Ovis aries: one gene and its partners. The protein of the gene in region 3 purifies or fractionates together with the protein of the main gene of each other region. This does not show direct contact. Links are inferred from orthologs where the notes say so. Each region holds a gene or a part of one and is shown on either strand. Other genes may lie near its edges.

Region 1 (4,113 bases), on a different chromosome or scaffold from region 3:
TCTCAGCTCCCGGACCAGGGATGAAAACTACACCCATTTCAGTGGAAGGCAAAGTCTTAACAATTGGACCTCCAGGGTAGTTTCCTGGTACACTTTTTACACAAATGTTCCCTCTTTACGTATGAACTGAACCTTGGAGGTAATTCTTTGCTCCAAACTGCTCTTCCGTTTTACTGTGTGCCTTATGGTCAATCACCGCAAATACATTTTATAATAAAACACTTTACAATTCATTTGCCAGGGGACACATGGCAAGAACCTGAAACAGGCTCCTACTTTGAATAAACCTGATTCCAGTACTGACAAAAAAACATTAAGGCCACATTTCATTTTCCATTAAGAGACAAGTACTCTTTTATACAAGAAAAATTAGAATATGAAAAAAAAAGAGGGTACTAGGGTGAGACTCAAATAGTTATTGATGGAGGAGAAAATTAACATTTCGATGACTACTATGTGCGATGCACCTTTGACATCTCGTCTTAATCCTCCCAAGAACTCTGTGATGAACGCGTTATCTCCATTTTACAGGCAAGGAATCTGCAGCGCCGGGGTTTCTAACCTAGATGGAGCTCAACGCCACGTTTTTTCAAAACCCCACGCTGTCTCAGCAGGAATTAGGTATGAAGAAGTCCTCCTAGAACGACATTTCCCAGGATTAGGGTGGAATATATCAACAAATGCCTAAGGAAAACGTAAACTTATTCCTTTAGGGCTAGAATATACAGCTTTTTGACTACTGCACTTTGAAATAGAGGGCGATACCAACACCTTTTACACTTTTTAAGACAGGTGATCATTTTCTCCTTAATAGGGAAATATACCAAGTAAAGAATAATTAGCCACTATGGAAAACAGTTTCAAAGACTGTAAGGGGTTTACACTTCAGCTCAAACAAGGTGAGTACAGTCAGAGATATAAGAACCTCCAAGATGTAGAGCAGAGCCAGCACGTCTGAATTCAACGACCAGGGTGTTTCCCATAGAGTATGAGGAAATGGCTTCACGTTTTTCTATACCATCAATATACATCAGGACCTCTAGCAGGACACCGGCGCCTGGACCACGCCTCACAAATGTCAGTCAAGCAAAGTGGCGGCCGCGCAGCACGGATAAACGATCAGGCCCCGCCTCCTACCCCACTTCTACCCCGCCCCTGGTCCGGCCCTGCCCAGCCCGGAGCCGTTAATCGCCGACACAACTTTGCGCCTGCGCAGGCCGAAAGTGCGGCTTTGTGCATGCGCCTAGAGGGAAAGTTGGTTCTTTTCCCCTCCCACCCCTCGCGATAACATGAGAACTTGCTTCCAGGTCGAAGGGTTTACTTCCGGTGAGCGGGTAGGCTGAAACGCGGTGGCTAAAGTGGAGTTGAGTTTGCAAAGTTCTTGCTGGAGAAGGCTGTAGCCATGGACAGGTAAGTTCTGGTGGTGAAGGCTGAAGTCGATCACTTTCCTCCCCAGCGTGTTGGAGGAATGAAACAGGTGAAACCCGACTCAGAGGAAGCAGACGAGGGCCTGGGTGCTGATTCTAGGCATCCTTTTCCGGCTGGAAGACTGCAGCTAAGGGAGAAAGGCCGCTTGGGCCGGGGACGGATATGGTCCTTGCCAAGATCCTTGAATAACTCATCTTTATGTAGGGGCCTGATGAGTTATTCAATCCTATGAAGGTAGCTACTGTGATCCTCTTTTCATACATAGAATTGAGGCTAAAAGAGGTTAAGGAACTTGATCAGTTAGGAAGCTAACAAAGGAAGCTAAGAACCAAGTTGCCAACCTGGATATGTGTTTCTAGATTCTAGGGGGCTGTTTGATTCAGCAGATAGTATTCACCAGATAGACCAAAGAGGTGAATGTAGGCCTCTGAAAAGAATGCCTACAAAGGTATAAAGGTGTAAGGATATGAAAGTATAGCTTAATGGTCACATGCAGTGTGTGTTTGTATGAAAGTGATGTTTGTGGCTGAACTGGTAAGCTGGGGTCAGATTATAAAAGCCATGGTAGGAAATTTGGACTTGATTCTGTAGGCCAGAGATATCTATCTGAAGATTTCAAGTGGAGGAAATGCACATTAGATTCTTAAGATACAGGTCTCATAATACACACAATTTATTTTCTAGACTTTGGGCTGAGAATGTCTGTGACTGTAATAGTACTGAGATAGACGACACCCTTAGTGTACTCTGGGAAGAAAAGCTTGAAGGATCATTTCTTTCCAATTTATTAGATTTATTTTTTATTTAGTTTCCCAAGTCACCAGCTTAGAAGTATCCATGGTTTGAAGTACTTTGGAGACTACAGACATCCTTTTAAGAGTTCCTGCAACTTTAGGAACCTCCTCAATCCAAGGAAGTAAGGTTTATCTTCAGGAAGCAATTATTTAAAGCAGTGTTAGAATATAGATTTAGATTCCAAGTGTTAAAATAATTCCAGAGGAGGAAAAAATTAACACGTAAGTCAGAGAAGACTTTATGCGGGTAAAATTTGAGCAGGACTTTGAGAGATAAGCTGGATTTGGTAATGATAGAAGTTTTTTTTGCAAATGCTCCTTTCTCATTTCATTCATGTGAATTTGATTATTGCCATTTTAGGAGTGGCTTTGGAGAGATGTCATCTCCTGTGATCCGGGAGGCAGAGGTGACTCGGACTGCACGCAAACAGAGTGCCCAAAAAAGAGCTTTAAGTATCCTTTGCATTTTAAGCATCATTATAAAAATTGTAACATGTTTGGAATTAGCATTATAGACTTCATAGTGATATTAAACACTAGCTGCAATAAAATACTGTGGAAATTAATTTTTTTAACTCTCCAGATGTGTTATTTGGTAAATATGATGCTGAAATTCAGTGAGATTCATATTTCCTTGAAAATAAGGATGTTCCATTTTACTGCTAACTGTCATATTGTGGTTAGCTTTTGCTGAGGTTAGATTTTCTTTATTATTTGAGTTCTAAGAACTCTTAGTTCAGTGTGTGGTAACCTAAGACTTGAGCACTTAGTTCAAGACTGTAGTAACTGATAACTAGAATTTAAAGGGGAAAAGGAATTATTTACTCTTTGCATAGAAAATATGGTAGCTATAAAATACCTTGTCCTTGAAAAACATATTCTCATATTTTGTATAGTATAAATATGGTTCATGCTGGAAGGGATTGGGGGCAGGAGGAGAAGGGGACGACAGAGGATGAGATGGCTGGATGGTATCACCAACTCTATGGACATGAGTTTGGATAAACTCCGGGAGTTGCTGATGGACAGGGAGGCCTGGCATGCTGTGATTCATGGGGTCGCAAAGAGTCGGACACGACTGAGCGACTGAACTGAACTGAACTGAAATATGGTTCATTCTAACTTTAGTGATGTTTTTTTCTATACAAAAAACTTTCTTTAACATTTCCTGTAGTTCGGGTAGCCCAAGATGAAATTTTTTCTAATACCACTCCAAGAAACCAGGTTATGCCCCGAACTCCCAGCTCATTTCGACAACCTTGTAAGATTTTTTTGCTTTTAAAGCATTTAATAATGATAACAGTAATAGCAGCTAATACTGTAATATTATATTTTATAAGTTATTTTTAATTAAGAACAAATAATAGGGATTGCACTTACTATTTGTTGAACTCTTACCATGTGTAAGGCTTTACATAATTGCATAATAGCTGTGAAAGTAGATATTGTCTCTATTTTGTCAAATCTGAACATGAGAACTAGAGAAGTTGATTAATGCAGATAAAATAGCTAGGTAAGTATGTAAGTAATGGAACCAAAATTCAAATCATAATCTGCTTACTTCAGAGTCCATGTCCTTTATACTATCGTATGCTTTATAAAATTAGAATTTGATAAATTCATGAACTCATGAGTGTCTTTTTTTTTTTTTATGTTCAGTTACGTTATAATGACAGCATTTCTGTTTGCAGTAAAATTTTTTTGGTGGGCTCAGTAGTACCAAAAGTTCGTATTTAGAAAAATAAGTTAAATCTTGATATTATAGAAATGTTAATATTGAAAGTATATTTGGTTAGAATCTAAATAATTGAAAAGTGAAAATTGTTCGTTTTTATTTGCTTGTTTCATTTTCATGATCAATGCTCATGCACTTCGAATTCTTTTTACTAAT
Region 2 (4,249 bases), on a different chromosome or scaffold from region 3:
TCCCTTGTGGCTCAGCTGGTAGAGTCCGCCTGCAATGCGGGAGACCTGGGTTTGATCCCTGGGTTGGAAAGATCCCCTGGAGAGGGGAAAGGCTACCCACTCCAATATTCTGGCCTGGATAATTCTATAGACTGTATAGTCCATGCGGTCGCAAAGAGTCAGACTGAGCGACTTTCACTTTCACTTTCCACTTAGTCACTAGATCTAGTTTCCAGAACATGTTCAACTCACCCCTTTGAGATAATCTGTCTCCTGCTCTGGACTAGACCCTGGGGGGAAAGGAAAAGTGAACTCGCTCAGTTGTGTCCGACTCTTTGTGACCCCGTGGACTGTAGCCCGCCCGGATCCTCTGTCCACGGGGATTCTCCAGGCAAAAATACTGGGATGGGTTGCCATTTCCTTCTCCAGGGGATCTTCCCAACCCAGGGATCAAACCCGAGCCTCCTGTATGGCGGGCAGATGCTTTATCCTCTGAGCCACCAGGGAACACAAGAGGAAGGAACACCAATTTGAAAATAAAGCTTTAACTTCCAAGAGCCCCGCCCTGAAGATAAGACAGTAAGTAACAGAATACAAAGAAACAAAGCTGTAACAGAGGCTTGCCCAAGCATCACCCCAACTCGCTGGGACAGACTGATCCACAAAGGTATCCCAGAGGAGGCGGGATCATTTCAATTAGAACTTTAGGGGTTCCTAAAGTGCAGGTGGGAAAAAAGTCCCAATAATTGTTATTTGTACCAAACTTTAAGCTGAGCCATTCCCTTAGGGCATCACTAACACTCCCAATGCCTATGCTATGGATTCAGAGAGGGAGAGGTTATGTTGGGCTGGCATGGGTCAGGAGGCAAGAAGGCCAGGTTTGGGGGCCTTGGAGCAGCTGCAGGCGAGCTACTTAGATAGACCTAGGCGGGCCCTCCAGCTCCGCACGTGGTCTGGGCAGGAAATGAGGGCCGGACGACAGGAGCACTTTCCCATGACCACCCGCGGACTGAGGCAAAGGAAGGGTAGAACAGTTACCATGCCATTCTGGAGCTTCACTCTGATTGGCCCGAGTCTCAGCAGTCTGGGTGTCTCCGCTCCAGAGAAGGGGCGGAGCCTCGGCATAGCGTCATCACCCTTATCCCACCCCCCTCCCGATGTAGCCACTCACCAGCCCACTTCGAGGGGCCCTGTGTGACGTCACTACTCCCTCCCAGCCAACCGCGGCGACGAGGGGCGGCACTCCATGTCCCTCCTTACCGCCCCTCCCCTTTCCTCCCCCTAATTCCTTCGGTCCCGCCTCTTCCCCCCTCTCCTAGTCTCCCAAAGACAGCCCTCACGTTCGGTTTCAAAAGACCCGTGGTCCAATGACTAACAGGGCGGCTGTAGAGTGGCGGCGGCGTCTGCCAATGCGCAGACTGCGAGGGCGGAGCGCTCGCAGCGAGCCTCTGACGGCGGGCGGCGTGTGACGCAGTCGGGCCCTCTACGCGCAGCGCCCGGAGCGGCGGTCGGTATCGGTGGTGGCGGCGGCGGCGACGGTTTCGTGGCGGCCGCGCGCTGCTCTCTGAGCGGCGGGTGGTGGTCCGGCCTAGGCCTTCACTCCTGACACTTCTCCCCCGCCCCCAGCACCGCGGTAAGTCGGGAGCCAGGGTGGTGGAGGCCGGAGACCGGCAGGCTCCTCCTCCACTTTGGGAGGGCGGGTGCGCGGGGCGTCCCAGGCCCTCTCCGCGCCGAGTCTCGCGCCCTAGCGCGCACCTTCTGTCCTGAGGGAGGGGGCGGGTCTCGGGCCCCGAGGCCTGACCCTTCAGGCTTTGAGGAGGGATCGCTCTCTGTGGGTTCTGGGCCCGGGGGTCTCGCGTTGAAGCCTCCCTTGAGTGAGCGTTTCTCTAGCAGGTTGTACTCATTCATTTGCCCGTCAGTGATTAGGTGGGCAGGCCCTTTGCGGGGGCAGCGCCTTGAGAACCTGAGGGACGGTTTCCTCAGCACTTCCCTGATCATCTGCGGGATTGGGCTTTGTTTGCTTTGGCTTCTCCAAGGGGAAATTTGCAACCCCTGGGGAGGGTGAGTGGGTCTGGAGTTTGTGAGCTTATTAAAACTGTATCTGAGAATTAAGGTCATTTAATGGAGTGAAACCTTACTTTTTGTTCTCCCACGTGTCCCACATAAAGCTAGACGAGAAACAGGGTGAGGTTTCTGGATTACTTACTTTAGCCTTAAGGACCTTGGAAATTAAGTCAATTCCCCTACCCCATGTCACGTGCAAGTTTCATAGGTGGAGAAGCTGAGGCCCAGAGGAAAAACAGTACTAGAAAGTGCCAGAAATTTTTCTACTATACTGCCCTCCCTGGGCGTTCTAGCCCCCCATTACTGAGGATTCCCTTTAGAAAAGTGGAGGGGTCAAGATGGTGACATTGAGTAGTTGGAAGCAGAAACCTAGTTTTCAATATCGTTTCCGATTTGGTTGCTACCCGCCCAGTTCACCGTAAGGCAAACGCTTCCTTAGTGGAACGCTAGCCTAGACCATGAGAACTAAACTCAAAAGTTGAAGAACATCAGGGGTATCATGTATTGGGAATGAACTGATAAGGCTACATATTAGTGGCTAGTTTCCTGATGTAGGTCTGAAATTTTTATTTGTGTCGGCTACTGAGGATTCAGAAGAAAGGGTCCAGTTAGTGAGCTACAGTAGAGTTGAAATAGAAAACAGGAAATAAAGACAAGACTTAGAAAGATACACTAGCAGTCATTTGGCACTTCTTGTATCTTGGGACTCAACTCCTCTCTTACCGAATTCGAAAACATAGAATAAGGTGAGAAAATTAAACTATTTTGGGAGAAGAAGCTAGGGAAGAAAGAAGAGAGCAGTGATCATTCCCTGTGATAGTCTTATAAATTCAGAAAGAAAGAAACACTTGTTAGATGGCGTGTTTGGAACTTGTTGAAGTTTGGATATATAGAAAACAAACCAGAAGTTGGACAAGAAGGAGGTCCTGGGAAGTACTTTTGATAAATTTATTTTTTGACTCATCACTTTCCTCTTGTTTTGATGATGAAGCAAAAATTGAGAAATGTAGTGTATAAGAGCAGAAGCTGTAGTCTTATAATACTAAGAGGTGAACAGGGTGTGTTTTCTGTGCCATTTTCTCTTCTGGGAAGCCTCCCCCGGCATTCTTTCCCCTGCAGCCTTCTATAACACTTATTTGATACTTCAGTTTATGACACCAGTCATTTTGTATTTCAGCTGTGTCTTTTTATTAGACTGGTAAAAAGTTTTTTGTCTTGTATTCAGTTTGCTTTTCACATAGTAGGCCCTCAGTAAGTATGCTTGTCTGGATGGATAAACAAATTGGAGGAGTTAAGCCTAAAAGTAGTCTATAAAGAGGCTAGGTATTTGTGCACTCCTGAAATATCAGGCCCAGATAAGAGGACCCATACCATTTGTGTGTTATGTTGTACTTTGATACCTGACTGTTCATGTCCATTTGCTCCTAGACAGCTAATAACAAGCACAACTTTTAGGGAACCAGATTCATAGCTTGGAAATGTTACTTCCTTTGATACTTTTATAGTAGCAAGTAACCTTAGGAGGTAAGGGGTAGTAATACTGATGTTAAATTTCCAGTAAATAAAGATCACATCTGTAATTATGCAATCTTTTCAAAGCTTAAGGGAATAAGAAATTTAGTGATTTAACAATAAGTATTAGAGACAAAGTATATAAACAATGTTTCTTGAGAATTTGGCACATTCTGTGTGTTTAGAATTGAACCTAAGTATTTTTCATTTATGTATTGTATTTTACCCATTAGATACTCATAACACCCTCTCTCCAAGATTTAACATTCAAGAATGTCTTCAAACATTTTCAAATGTTACTTGAGAGGCAAAACTGCCCCTCAGTGAGATTGGTGCTCTACAGAGAACGTTCCCAATATTTCAATAAAAAATCTTACGTTTATCATACTTTGTCTATGTTTGTGGAGTCAGCTAATAAGTTGCATTTGGTTGAGATATCCTTGAAAACCCTTAAATTGTCAAAATCTGGGATGGGGAGCTAAAAAGAGTACTAGAGTTGCTTTCTTTATTTTCTCCTTCCATGTCTGTCACAGCCTCCCTTTCTCTGGGATAGGAGAAATTAGAGTCCTGTTTGAAAGGGGATAGGTCATTGGATAAATAGAGCAATATTTATTTCATTTTTTTGTGGAAAAAGGCAAAAGAGCTTGTACTTGAATTGATACAATTAAATGCGATGCTATATCTGGTCCTAAGA
Region 3 (4,119 bases):
CAAGGATTCTCCCTGTTGCCCAACCACATTCCAGAACCAGGGAAATAACCACAGGATGGCTCTGAGGACCCACTGTGAGACACACCTGAGCCAGAAAACCTCTGGTCAGCTGACCTCCTCAAGGCCTGCTCTGACTGTGGATCACAGTGATATTTTGGGTCTCCTGAAATCAGGGTCAGTTTGGAGCTGCGTGTTCAGAATTCTTGAAAAATCTAATTATTTCCTTTTCCCCAAAGCATAATCACCGTGGTAAAAGGCCCCAGGTCCCCTGAGGGAAGGCTGGAAGATTCAGTGTGTATTTTTGGCAGCACAGTAGGGTCTTTCCTCAAGGTGATCTGGCTTCCTCTTTAATCAAGGGTTTTTGGGTCTGTAAACTGGGTCAAGTGTGACGTTGATTGTAAGGCTGTCACGCTGCTTTTATGAGTTTTGTGAGTATTTTCTCTGGCAACGAGTGTCTTTGTTCTTAGAGCAGTTACAGTAGTTCTCAGTTATCATACCGGCAACTCACGGATTTGGGGGTTTGCCCTTGACGTACCGGGCTACAGTCCACACTGTCACATGTATGTGTCCTCTTAAAGTACCAATAAAATCTTACCATTTTTAGTGGGAGGGGAAAGGCAAGTGAAGGCATTTCCAGTAAGGCCAAACCATTTCTGCAGATCCTGGGGGAACGGGGACTGCCGGGGCCACGCACCCCCCCACCCCTCACCACACACGCTGGACACACGCTCCTTACGCACCGCTAATCTCTGCGCTCACTCCCGGGGCCCTGCCCGACTCCCGGGGCCCAACGCGATGAGACTGACTCAGGGCCGAGGCTTGCAAATGATAGTCTTAACCTTCACATTCCCCTAATCTCCACACTTCGACGGAGAGCTCCTTAAGTCCCCTTAGGGCACCGACGGGCTTTCCTTGTGGCTAAGCGGGTAAAGAATCCGCCCGCAATGCGGGGAGTCCTGGCTTCGATCCCTGGATTGGGAAGACTCCCTGAAAGAGAGAAAGGCTACACACTCCAGTATTCTGGCCTGGAGAATTCCATGGACTGTATAGTGGATGGGGTCGCAAAGAGTCGGACACGACTGAGCGACTTTTACTTCATTTCACTTCAGGGCACAGACTGCGCCGCAGCCAGGCGACAGAGTAACTACCGCGGCCCCCGCCACGCGGTGTTTGACCCACACCCGGGCCTTGACTGGTACGGCGAACCGGGGGCGGAGCCTTGCGGGGTGTGACGGGCAGGGGGCGGGGTCCCGCGGGGTATGACGGGCCAGGGGGCGGGGCCCCGCGGGGTATGACGGGCCAGGGGGCGGGGCGGGCGCAGCCCGGGGCGCGCGAGCAGCACGCGGAAAGCACCGCCGTGCGCGCCCCGGCGCCGGGTCCGGGTGGGCTGCGGTCCGCGCGCCGCCGCGCCGCCGTGTAGGAGGCGGGAGGGGTCCGGCGCAGCCATGTTCGTGGCGCGCAGTATCGCGGCGGACCACAAGGATCTCATCCATGATGTGTCTTTTGACTTCCACGGGCGGCGGATGGCCACCTGCTCCAGCGACCAAAGCGTCAAGGTGCGGGCCGAGCCTGGAAGCGGGCGGGACCTTGCGCGGCCCGCTGTCCGAGCGAGGGGCGCGTGGAGAGGGGAGTGCTCCCGAGTTGAGGCGCCTTGCCGGGCACGAGGCCCGGCGGCTTGGCCGGCGGGCGCCCTCCTCCCGGGTATTGTGGGGTCACTGCCGCCCGGGCCGCCTCTCCGCGGTTGTCTGCGTGCGTGCGTGCGTCACGGCGGCGGGCGCGCTCCCGCTGCGGGGGAAGCAGGGCGCTCCGATCGGCCAGGCTTGCCCTGGGCTCCAGGCTGGGGCCGGAGCACCTCGTGGGAGGGGGATGTCTCGCTTGGCGGTGGTCGGCGGGACCTAGGCCCGCTCCGCGGGCGCCCGTCGGATTGGGCTCCCTCCGTCCATGTATTCACAGCTGGGCCGCGGCTGCGCGGCCCTCGCTGACGGATCTGTGACGAGGCCCGGGTTTTCTCTCCGCCCGCCGCGGCCGCGTGACAGTCGCGATAATTGGCGTCCGTTAACCGAGTAGGTTTCCTTATCCGCTTAAAGCTGTCTTCTAGAGGATTGTCCCGTGTGCGGAGTATTTGTCGGGGTGTTGCAGTGAAAAAGCTTCGTTAATCCCGCTTTTTATGTTTTTTGGAAGTTTTCCTTAGGCTCATTCCAGTAAAGAAATTAATGAGTATTTTAAAAGCTCTTGAGAGTACTTGGTAGATTGTCTTTTTGAAGGTTGTACTGTTTTACAGCTGCCGGTGAAGAGTATCGGTGTGATAGTTGTCCGTGTCGGACATTATCATTGCATTTTTTTCTTTAGTGTTTTCGTTATTGCAGTGAACTACAGGTAACAAAATTTACCACCTTAACCGTTTTTATTAAGTATGTTTGTATCTTTGCATCGGTCACTGCCATCCTCAGTTTGCACTGTCCGCATTAAGCATGACTCACCGATCCCTGAAGCGTCCACCCCGGTCCCCGCCCTTGTACTTTCTGTCTCTGAATTTGGCTACTCCAGCGGCCTCATACAAGTGGGATCATACAGGATTTGTCTTTTTTGTGACTGGCTGATTTCACTTAGCTTAATGTTTTGAAGTTCATACGTGTTGTAGCATTTGTCATAATTTCCTTCCCGAGAAAAGGAAGCGTTTAAATAATCTAAAAACTTTTAAAGAGGCTGAGTATATGTATCTGCATATACCACATTTTACATATCACTCATCTGTTGGTGGAGTTTGGTTCCTTCTACATTTTAGTTGTGAACAGTGCTGCTGTGAATGTGGGTGAACAAGTATAGCTTTGAGACCTGCTTTCAACTCTTTTGGGTGCAGACCCAGAAGTGGAATTGCTGAATCACATGGCAATTCTATTTTTATTTGAAAAAATTTTAATAATTTTTATATATGTGTTGCTGTTCTTGGGCTTTCTCTAGTTGAGGAGAGCGAGGGCTGCTCATCGTTGTGGTGCTCCAGGCTTCTCATTAGCGGCGCTTCTTGTGGAGGATGGGCTCTCGGTCACGCAGGGTTCAGTAGTTGCGGGTCATCTGCTCAAGAAAACGGACTTGCGTTGGCAGGCAAATTCTATCCACCGGGGAAGTCCTGTTTGAAGTTTTATGAGGAGCCACAATACTGTTTTATCATTACATTTTTAAAAATTGATTTATTTGGGGGACATATTACATTTAAAAAACCTGGTTAAAATCTCACGTTATTGTAATGTCTATTTTTTGTTGGTATGAAGGTTCAGTGTTTTGTCTTTGACTGTTATATATACAGTTGAGTCTTGTTATTTGCAAGTTTTGTATTTGTGAATTTGCTTATTCTATAAAGTTTATTTGTAACCCCCAAAGCAACGCTCATGGTTATTTGTTGACATGACCAGGTGGCAGAAAAATTGGAGTTGTTCAGGTTGTGTTCCCAGCTGAGGTTGGACATGTGACACTCTGCCTTTTATTCAGGCTTTCATAGTGTAAACAAGCGTCCTTCTGAGTGTGTGTTTGGTGCCACATTTTTCACATTTTCATTCTTTTGGTGAATTTCACTGGCTGAAGTGGTCCTCAAGTGTAGTGCTGCATAATGTCCCACAGCAAAAAGGCTATGAGTGCCTTCCCGAAAAAGTATGTGTTAGGGGAGCTTCATTCAGACCTGAGTTACAGTGTTGGTGTGATTTCAGTTCAGTCACTCAGTTGCATCCGACTCTTTGTGACCCCATGGACTGCAGCACGCCAGGCTTCCCTGTCCTTCACCAACTCCTGGGGCTTGCTCAAACTCATGTCCATTGAGTCGGTGATGCCATCCAACCATTTCATCCCCTGTCCTTCCCTTCTCCTGCCTTCAGTCTTTTCCCAGCATCAGGGTCTTTTCCAGTGTTCAGTGTTAGTGAATCGATAATGTATACAAAATAAGGTGTTTGCAAACATGCACAGGTAAAACAAGGTTATTGATAGGTTGGTTGATAAATACATTGTGACCAGAGGCTCCTGTGAATTGTACCTGTTTCCTCTGTGGGAGAGTGGTCAGTATTGGCCCAGTGACTTTCTAGGGCAGCAGCACCATAAGTGCCTGACTTGAGTGGCACTGTTATCATCTCC
Region 4 (4,145 bases), on a different chromosome or scaffold from region 3:
GTCAGTCTATCACCTGGTCCTAATGAAGCTACCCTCTAAGTGTATCTCGAATCCATCTATCTCTGTTTTTCTAGCTACTCCCACAGCTGAGTCACCAACATGTTGAGAGGGTAACAGGCATGAAGGCCAGCGGTCTCCAAACGGAGGAAATAGCCTGCAAGTGTCAGACATTTTTATCTCTCTTAAGCGGCAGAAGGAAGCAGGAGGAAACAAACTATCGATATTTTTTCCTTCTCTATACACATTTAAAAGGAGGTTTCCCTTAAAATACTGTGTTGCCATAATGACACCTGGTTTCACCTGAAGTTAACTATTCTCAAACCTAGAGACAACCAATGCCTTTTTCTTATGGAAATGTTTATCTTAAGCTATGTTAACATACTATGCATCTACCCCAAACTCTATCTTCAAGTTGGTTCCACCTCTTGGCTCAGAACCTCCTTGACAAACCAGTATGTTATACTCAGATACTGTTCCTCTAATCTATGTAAATGAAACTATTTGTATGGTGATCTGCCCTTCTTCAAGATTCAAGTTAATCATTTTATGGCCCAGGATGAACCATTTGGTGCCAAGATTATCCCAAAATGCATCTTATGGGTGAGGGGCCTGGTGCCATTCTGAGTTTCAAGACATTCCTTTCTTTCATTAACAGAATGCTGCTGCTGCTGCTAAGTCGCTTCAGTCGTGTCCAACTCTGTGTGACCCCATAGACGGCAGCTCACCAGGCTCCCCCGTCCTGGGATTCTCCAGGCAAGAACACTGGAGTGGGTTGCCATTTCCTTCTCCAATGCATGAAAGTGAAAAGTGAAAGTGAAGTCGTTCAGTCGTGTCCGACTCCTAGCGACCCCATGGACTGCAGCCCACCAGGCTCCTCCGTCCATGGGATTTTCCAGGCAAGAGTACTGGAGTGGGTTATATAACATTCAGCTGAAGACTAACAGGGGGGTACTCTTTCTGAACCCTTCTGATGCCTATGTCAGAAGCATTCTCTATCTCCTTTATACTATAATAAAACTTTATTACACAAAAGCTCTGAGCGATCAAACCTCGTCTCTGGCCCTGGATTGAATTCTTCTCCTCCGGGGGCCAAGAATCCCAGCATCTTTGTGTGATTTAACAACCTTTCAATGTCTTACTTGGTCCATCATAAAAGCAAACTGTTCTTTTGTATTTTACCCATCCATCCCAAATCTATTTTACACAAAGCAGAATGATTATTTTAAAATGTGATTTTGATCATGCTTATAGACTTTCAGTGACTGCTCAACATACTCAGGATAAAATTCACATATCTTGGGGCTTCCCTGGTAGTCTAGTGGTTAAGAATCTGCTTGCCAAGTCTCGGGACATCAGCTCGATCCCTGGCCTAGGAAGACTCCATATGCTATGCAGTAGCTAAGGCCACGCTCTAGAGCCTGTGCTCTGCAACGAGAAGCTGCCGTAATGAGAAGCCCATGCACCAGAGCAGAGACCAAGCACAGCCTGAGGTCCTTCATGATGAGTCCACCCTAGCTACTAGTCTCAGCATCGCTCACGTCCTTTTCCATTTTGCCATTTGCAGTTAAGCCGCATAGATCTTTAGTCAGTTCCTCAAACCTGTCAAATTCTTTTCACCTCATGGATTTTGGAGACAGTGATCCCACTTGCTCAAATGCTCTCTCCCACAACACCTTGCTTGGCTAACCTTTCACCCTTCCAATCTCAGGTTAAATGTGACTTACTTTAGGCCTCTCCAGCCCCACCAATAACACTTGGTCTTCCCATTAGCCTCTCAAAACCCTATTCTTCTCCTCTGAGGCAAGAATGAAAAATCTGTATTGATATACCTATGCATGAACATTAGCTTGATGCCTTTTTTCTTCTCAAAACTGCCCCATGAAAGGTAGGTCCACGTCTCTTACACTGCCACACCTTGCATGATGAAAACGGTGATTGTTTTTGTTAGTCATTTTGTCCCCAGGACACCTAGCAGTGCCTGACAAGTAAAGGCTCAAACACATAGGATGAATGTAAAGCACTACAAATACATAACGGGCTCATGTTTAAAAACTGGTCTTTGGGGCTTTAGCCCCTATGCTACATTTCTTCTGCTTTTAGTGTTGCCTGATAGGGTAACTCTTCCAGAACTCTGGGTGTCCTTAATTCTCCACTGATTAAGACAGAAATAGAAAGCAGTCTTTTTTTCTTTTCCTGTCTACAACCACTCGGAAAATGAATGACATCTCAGGGCCAGACAGGAAAATTCAGCCGCCGAACGACCCGACCTTCCAGAGGGCTTGCCAAACACAGCACTCACCAATGAATGAATCTGTTTCTGGTGACGGAGAACAACTTGCCACTTTCCACATAGTAGAAGCCTCCCGCGCTCTCACTGCATTTCACGGCTCCGGCCGCTGCATTTGCAGTTCCTGTAAAAGGTGAGTGGTCAGCCTGCACACGTGGTTCTCTGGGCATGACACGGACCGAGGTCGCTGAGAAAGCAGAGGAGGACGGACTGACAGTCCATACAGAATGAAAGGGGAGGGAAGAGGAGGCAGCAGGACACTAAGGTAGCTCTGATTCCTGTGCTAACAGGCATGTGGGCTCAGAAGGGTAACGGGGGGGCGGGGGTTGGGATGGAGAAATCCACAGGGGAGGCCCGAGGGGAAGGTTCGGATCGCGCTCTGCTGGGATGCTGCCGTACCAATGCCGCAGACGGTGAACTCCCGAAAGTGCCTGGGCCTTTCGCGCTCAGCGCCGACGAGCTCCACGAAGCTCCGTTCCACGGCTCCCGCCGCCGCCATCTTCCCGCGCCGCCGCGAGGCCCGACGGGACACCAGCAGGGCCGGGCGAGTGTCGTCACTTCCGGAGGGCGGGGCAGGCGGGCAGGTGGAGAAGTCCGGAGAGGTCGGGGGCGGCCGGATCCTGCGTTGAGGTGTCCATCGAGTTAGCTGGAGATCAGGTGCGCAGGGAGGGAGCCGAGGGAGAAAGGGCTAGGGGAAGCCTGCGGACTCCACCTGAGGAAACCTTTGCGTGGCCGGCTAGGACGCCCCAAGCGGCGGCGCCATATTTCCCGGCGGCCTCGGGGCAGGGGGCGTGGCCGGGTTTGTTTCCATTTTAAAAACGCCGCGCGGGACGCAGGTCTCAGCCTGCCGGGAGGGGCGAGGTCCCGGGAGGCCCGGCAGACGGGCGCCCTCTACTGGGTTTCGAGCTTGCGGTCATCTCTCCCTGAGTCGTGGTATCTGTCAGTGCATCTCCGCTCTGTCTCCTTTTATTCACCCACCCTTAAGCGAGCCTTGGGGATGGGATGGTGGGTGATGGGGGCGGGGGCAGTGAAGGGCAGAGTGTCCTTTTGTGTTGGAATTTTTCCGAGAGACTGTATACGAGTATTTTTGTATAATGAACTGTAATGTATTCTGGTATTCACCCATCTGGAATGGGTGAATTTAACTCAGATGACCATTATATCTACTACTATGGGCAGGAATCCGTTAGAAGAAATGGAATAGCCATCATGGTCAACGAAAGAGTCCGAAATGCAGTACTTGGATGCAATCTCAAAAACGACAGAATGATCTCTGTTCGTTTCCAAGGCAAACCATTCAATATCACAGTAATCCAAGCCTATGCCCCAACCAGTAACGCTGAAGAAGCTGAAGTTGAATGGTTCTATGAAGACCTACAAGACCTTTTAGAACTAACACCTGCAAAAGATGTCCTTTTTATTATAGGGGACTGGAATGCAAAAGTAGGAAGTCAAGAAACACCTGGAGTAACAGGCAAATTTGGCCTTGGAGTATGGAATGAAGCAGGGCAAAGGCTAATAGAGTTTTGCTAAGAGAATGCACTGGTCATAGCAAACACCCTCTTCCAATAACACAAGACAAGACTCTACACATGGACATCACCAGATGGTCAATACCGAAATCAGATTGATTATATTCTTTGCAGCCAAAGATGGAGAACCTCTATACAGTCAGCAAAAACAAGACCGGGAGCTGACTGTGGCTCAGATCATGAACTCCTTATTGCCAAATTCAGACTTAAATTGAAGAAAGTGGAGAAAACCACTAGACCACTCAGGTATGACCTAAATCAAATCCCTTATGATTATACAGTGGAAATGAGAAATAGATTTAAGGGACTAGATCTGATAGAGTGCC
Region 5 (4,152 bases), on a different chromosome or scaffold from region 3:
ATAGGTATCCCTCTTCTAACAGCCATGAATCTCCTTCTAAGCATCATATATCATCCACATCTGACATACTCTCCTGAGAGTTCAAACAGATGTGAAAGCAAACAGAGCAATGAAAAAGCAGGAGTATTCTCCCGAGACCTAGTAGATGCTGAAAAGATCAAGAAGAGATAGAAAGAATACATGGAAGAACTGTATAAAAAAGATCTTAATGAACCGGATTACTAGTTAGTCCGGTTGTAGTTAGTCACCCAGAGTCAGACATTCTGGAGTGCAAAGTCAAGTGGGCCTTAGGAGAAGCACTGCTGTTAATAAAGCTAGTGGATGTGATGAAATTCCAGCAGAACTACTCAAATCCCTGAAGGAGAATACCATCAAGGATTTGCATTCATTATGTCAGCAAGTCTGGAAGACCCAGCAGTGGCCACATGACTGGAAAAGGTAATCTTCATCTCAATTCCCAAGAAGGGTAGTACCAAAGAATGTGCTAACCATCAGACAATTGCACTCATCTCCCATGCTAGTAAGATCATGCTTAAAATCTTGCATGCTAGGCTGAAGCATTATGCGAACCAAGAACTTCCAGATGTCCAAGCTGGGCTTAGAAAAGAAAGAGGAACTAGAGATCAAATTGCCAACATTTGCTGGATGATACAGAAAGCAAGGGAATTTCAAAAAAACATCTATCTCTGCTTCATCAACTACCCTAAAGCCTTTGACTGTGTGGATCATGACAAACTGTGGAAAGCTCTTAGAGAGATGGGAATACCAGACCATCACACCTGTCTCCTAAGAAATACTCCCTGACAAATATTTCCATTTGTCCACTTAGGCTTGTTCTACACCTCTTAGCTCTTGGTAACCTGTAAGCCCTGCTAAATGGCAAAGAAGCAAAGTTAGAAGCAGGAGAAACATCAACAGACTTAGATGATGACACCACCCTAATGGCAGAAAGTGAAGAGGAACTAAAGAGCCTCTTGATGAGTGTGGAGGAGAGTGAAAGAGTCAGCTTAAGGCTAAATATTAAAAAAAACTAAGATCATGGCATCTGGCTCCATTCAGTTCAGTTGAGTTCAGTTGCTCAGTCATGTCCGACTCTTTGCGACCCCATGAATTGCAGCACACCAGGCCTCCCTGTCCATCACCAACCCCCGGAGTTCACTCAGACTCATGTCCATCAAGTCCGTGATGCCATCCAGCCATCTCATCCTCAGTCGTCCCCTTCTCCTCCTGCCCCCAATCCCTCCCAGCATCAGAGCCTTTTCCAATGAGTCAACTCTTTGCATGAGGTGGCCAAAGTATTGGAGTTTCAGCTTTAGCATCAGTCCTTCCAAAGAACACCCACGACTGATCTCCCTTAGAATGGACTGGTTGGATCTTGCAGTCCATGGGACTCTCAAGAGTCTTCTCCAGCACCACAGTTCAAAAACATCAATTCTTCGGTGCTCAGCTTTCTTCACAGTCCAACTCTCGCATCCATACATGACCACTGGAAAAACCATAGCCTTGACTAGACGGACCTCTGTTGGCAACGTAATGTCTCTGCTTTTGAATATGCTATCTAGGTTGGTCATAACTTTCCTTCCAAGGAGTAAGCCTCTTTTAATTTCATGGCTGCAATCACCACTGCAGCAAATAGAAGGGGGAAAGGTGGAAGTAATGACAGATTTCCTCTTGAGCTCCAAAATCTCTGCAGATAGTGAATGCAGCCATGAAATCAAACACAATTGCTTCTTGACAGGAAAGTGATGACAAACCTAGGCAGTGAGTTGAAAAGCAGAGACATTACCAACAAAGGTTCGTGTTGTCAACGATATGGTCTTCCCAGGGGTCATGTACAGTTGTGAGAGCTGGACCATAAAGAAGGCAGAATGCCAAAGAATTGATGCCTTCGAACTGTGGTGCTGGAGAAGACTCCTGAAAGTCCCTTGGACAGGAAGGAGATCAAACCAGTCAATCTTAAGGGAGGTCAATCCTGAATACTCACTGGAGGGACTGTTGCTGAAGCTGAAGCTCCAGTATTTTGGTCATCTGATGAGAACAGACGACTCATTTGGCAAAGTCCCTGATGTTGAGAAAGATCGAGGGCAGGAGGAGCAGAGGGCGTCAGAGGACGAGATGAAGCGACGGCATCAAGGATGGAATGAACTTGAACTTAAGCAAACTCCGGGAGGTGGTGAGGGACAGGGAGGCCTGGCGTGCTGCAGTCCATGGGGTCGCAAAGAGTCGGACACGACTGGGCCACTGAACAACAGCAGTCTCCCAAGAGAACTATACTTGGTAAACCTACGGCCTGCTCAAGCAGAAGCCAGGCTCAGGGGGCTGCGACGTGAAGCTTTGCTCCGCTGGGAGAAAAAAAGCCGTACAATATCTCCGCCTGGCTCCAACCCGCTCATTAAAGCTTTAGCCCAACAGGAAAAGCCAGAGAAGCAGGGAGGTCGGGGAGGCAAGGGACAGAAAGGAACAGAGTTGGGGGGGCGGTCTCCAGGGCCAGGTATTCCTCAGAATACACATGGGAGCAGAAACCCAGCGACCACCACGACCCACACGCGGGGAGCGAATTAATGCGACTTCCGAACGGGGGGCAACTGTGCTGAGGGAAGGGGCCGGGCACCCTGCCAGCGGCAGGGACGAGGCGGACCCAATCTCCGGGCCCCAGGGCGGGGGAGAGCGTACTGTTCGGGGCCCCCTTACAGTGACCGTCGGCTCGCTGTCGAACTCCTCCATAGCGCCGCACCACAGCCGCCGGGAACTCGCGGGGCCGCCAGGGCTCGCGCCTCAGGGCTCCGGCTCAGGGCCGGCTGCGAGAGAGGACCCCGCGCGTGAGCGCCTCCCGCACTGCCTGCAGGCCCAGAGGCCCGCCGCGGCGGGGCCTTCTCCTCAGAGCCTCGGCCACCCGCTCTGCGGCGCTGCCCACGCGCCCCTCCTTCTGGCCTCGACCACACGAACGGGGAAGGCAGCACTAGGGGCGGCCTGCCCTCACGGGACCCCTTTCGCCAGAGCCGGCGCCGCCGCGGACACCCCTGAGCCGGGCGGAAAGAAGGCCCCCCGGAGACGGCGGGAGCGGCGGGGAGGCGGCTGCGCGTGCGCGGTCGAGGGCGAGCTCTCGGTTTGGCCCCGGCGGGAGCGAGTTCACCACCTCTGGCGAGCCTGGGTTTCCTTCCCGCGCCTCGGTCTGCAGGCTCCAGTCGTCGGCGCCGCTGCTTTTTCCGTGGCAGGAGCCCCGTTGGTCCATCGGGCTTGTGTACGAAGGTATTCGTCACCAGCCCCTACCCCAAAAGGCTCCAGAGGCGTGAGGGGGACGAGATTGATGCAGCTGAAACAGCTAGGAAACGGAGACCCCTGGGCTCAGTTGAACACAAATACTGGTTTGTTATGGGCTTCCCAGGTGGCTCAGTGGTCAAGAATACCGAGACGCGGGTTCGATCCCGGGGTGGGAAAGATCCCCTACAGAAGAAAATGGCAACCCTCTCATACTCTTGCCTGGGAAAATCCCATGGACAGAGGAGCCTGGCGGACTACAGTTCATGGAGTCGCAAGAGTCGAACGCGGCTTAGCGACTGAACAACTGATTTGTTATCTCACCAAAGAAAAGCAGGAGAAAAAATCAAATCAGGGAATTTGAATCCCAGATCTTGTTATGGAAAACCTCAAAAGTGCTTCGGTGACCTAAAGGAGTTATTTATTTTGTGAGTGCCATGTTTACAAATGTATACACATACAAAGACGGAGAAGGCAATGGCACCCCACTCCAGTATTCTTGCCTGGAAAATCCCATGGACGGAGAAGCCTGGAAGGCTGCAGTCCATGGGGTCGCTGAGGGTTGGACACGACTGAGCGACTTCACTTTCACTTTTCACTTTCATGCATTGGAGAAGGAAATGGCAACCCACTCCAGTGTTCTTGCCTGGAGAATCCCAGGGACGGGGGAGCCTGGTGGGCTGCCCTCTCTGGGGTCGCACAGAATCGGACACGACTGAAGCGACTTAGCAGCAGCGGCAGCAGCAGCAGACATACAAAGAAGAGAATATTACTGGTTCTAAATTCCCAAATAAGCGCATTTTTTTTTAAACAAGCTGGAACTAATTCGATATCTTAAACCTTTGGAAACGGTGCCTGAAAATGTAGCAGCTCTTATTATCTAGAAAAGAAATT

What was found.
Region 1: the proteins of SEH1L (region 3) and NUP107 purify together in Homo sapiens (affinity purification with mass spectrometry; 5 studies listed by BioGRID and IntAct, with this or other methods). This does not show direct contact. The link is inferred for Ovis aries from reciprocal best matches to the Homo sapiens genes SEH1L and NUP107.
Region 2: the proteins of SEH1L (region 3) and NUP98 fractionate together in Homo sapiens (co-fractionation; 3 studies listed by BioGRID and IntAct, with this or other methods). This does not show direct contact. The link is inferred for Ovis aries from reciprocal best matches to the Homo sapiens genes SEH1L and NUP98.
Region 4: the proteins of SEH1L (region 3) and NUP160 fractionate together in Homo sapiens (co-fractionation; 3 studies listed by BioGRID and IntAct, with this or other methods). This does not show direct contact. The link is inferred for Ovis aries from reciprocal best matches to the Homo sapiens genes SEH1L and NUP160.
Region 5: the proteins of SEH1L (region 3) and NUP85 purify together in Homo sapiens (affinity purification with western blotting; 4 studies listed by BioGRID and IntAct, with this or other methods). This does not show direct contact. The link is inferred for Ovis aries from reciprocal best matches to the Homo sapiens genes SEH1L and NUP85.

Annotation. Positions count from the first base shown.
Region 1 is NC_056056.1:151,301,037-151,305,149, reverse strand, and holds the start of NUP107 (nuclear pore complex protein Nup107), read left to right. Parts: upstream 1-1,313; 5' UTR 1,314-1,402; coding exon 1,403-1,410; intron 1,411-2,583; coding exon 2,584-2,675; intron 2,676-3,396; coding exon 3,397-3,483; coding exon of another isoform or gene 3,484-3,484; intron 3,485-4,099; coding exon of another isoform or gene 4,100-4,113. UniProt on the Homo sapiens protein: Plays a role in the nuclear pore complex (NPC) assembly and/or maintenance. Required for the assembly of peripheral proteins into the NPC. May anchor NUP62 to the NPC. Involved in nephrogenesis.
Region 2 is NC_056068.1:50,027,172-50,031,420, forward strand, and holds the start of NUP98 (nuclear pore complex protein Nup98-Nup96), read left to right. Parts: upstream 1-1,449; 5' UTR 1,450-1,612; intron 1,613-4,249. UniProt on the Homo sapiens protein: Plays a role in the nuclear pore complex (NPC) assembly and/or maintenance. NUP98 and NUP96 are involved in the bidirectional transport across the NPC. May anchor NUP153 and TPR to the NPC.
Region 3 is NC_056076.1:43,684,211-43,688,329, forward strand, and holds the start of SEH1L (nucleoporin SEH1), read left to right. Parts: upstream 1-1,319; 5' UTR 1,320-1,445; coding exon 1,446-1,556; intron 1,557-1,769; exon of another isoform or gene 1,770-2,063; intron 2,064-4,119. UniProt on the Homo sapiens protein: Component of the Nup107-160 subcomplex of the nuclear pore complex (NPC). The Nup107-160 subcomplex is required for the assembly of a functional NPC.
Region 4 is NC_056068.1:76,491,470-76,495,614, forward strand, and holds the start of NUP160 (nuclear pore complex protein Nup160), read right to left. Parts: upstream 2,801-4,145; 5' UTR 2,787-2,800; coding exon 2,687-2,786; intron 2,412-2,686; coding exon 2,300-2,411; intron 1-2,299. UniProt on the Homo sapiens protein: Functions as a component of the nuclear pore complex (NPC). Involved in poly(A)+ RNA transport.
Region 5 is NC_056064.1:55,609,176-55,613,327, forward strand, and holds the start of NUP85 (nuclear pore complex protein Nup85), read right to left. Parts: upstream 2,801-4,152; 5' UTR 2,725-2,800; coding exon of another isoform or gene 2,692-2,724; 5' UTR 2,051-2,691; coding exon 1,985-2,050; intron 1-1,984. UniProt on the Homo sapiens protein: Essential component of the nuclear pore complex (NPC) that seems to be required for NPC assembly and maintenance. As part of the NPC Nup107-160 subcomplex plays a role in RNA export and in tethering NUP96/Nup98 and NUP153 to the nucleus.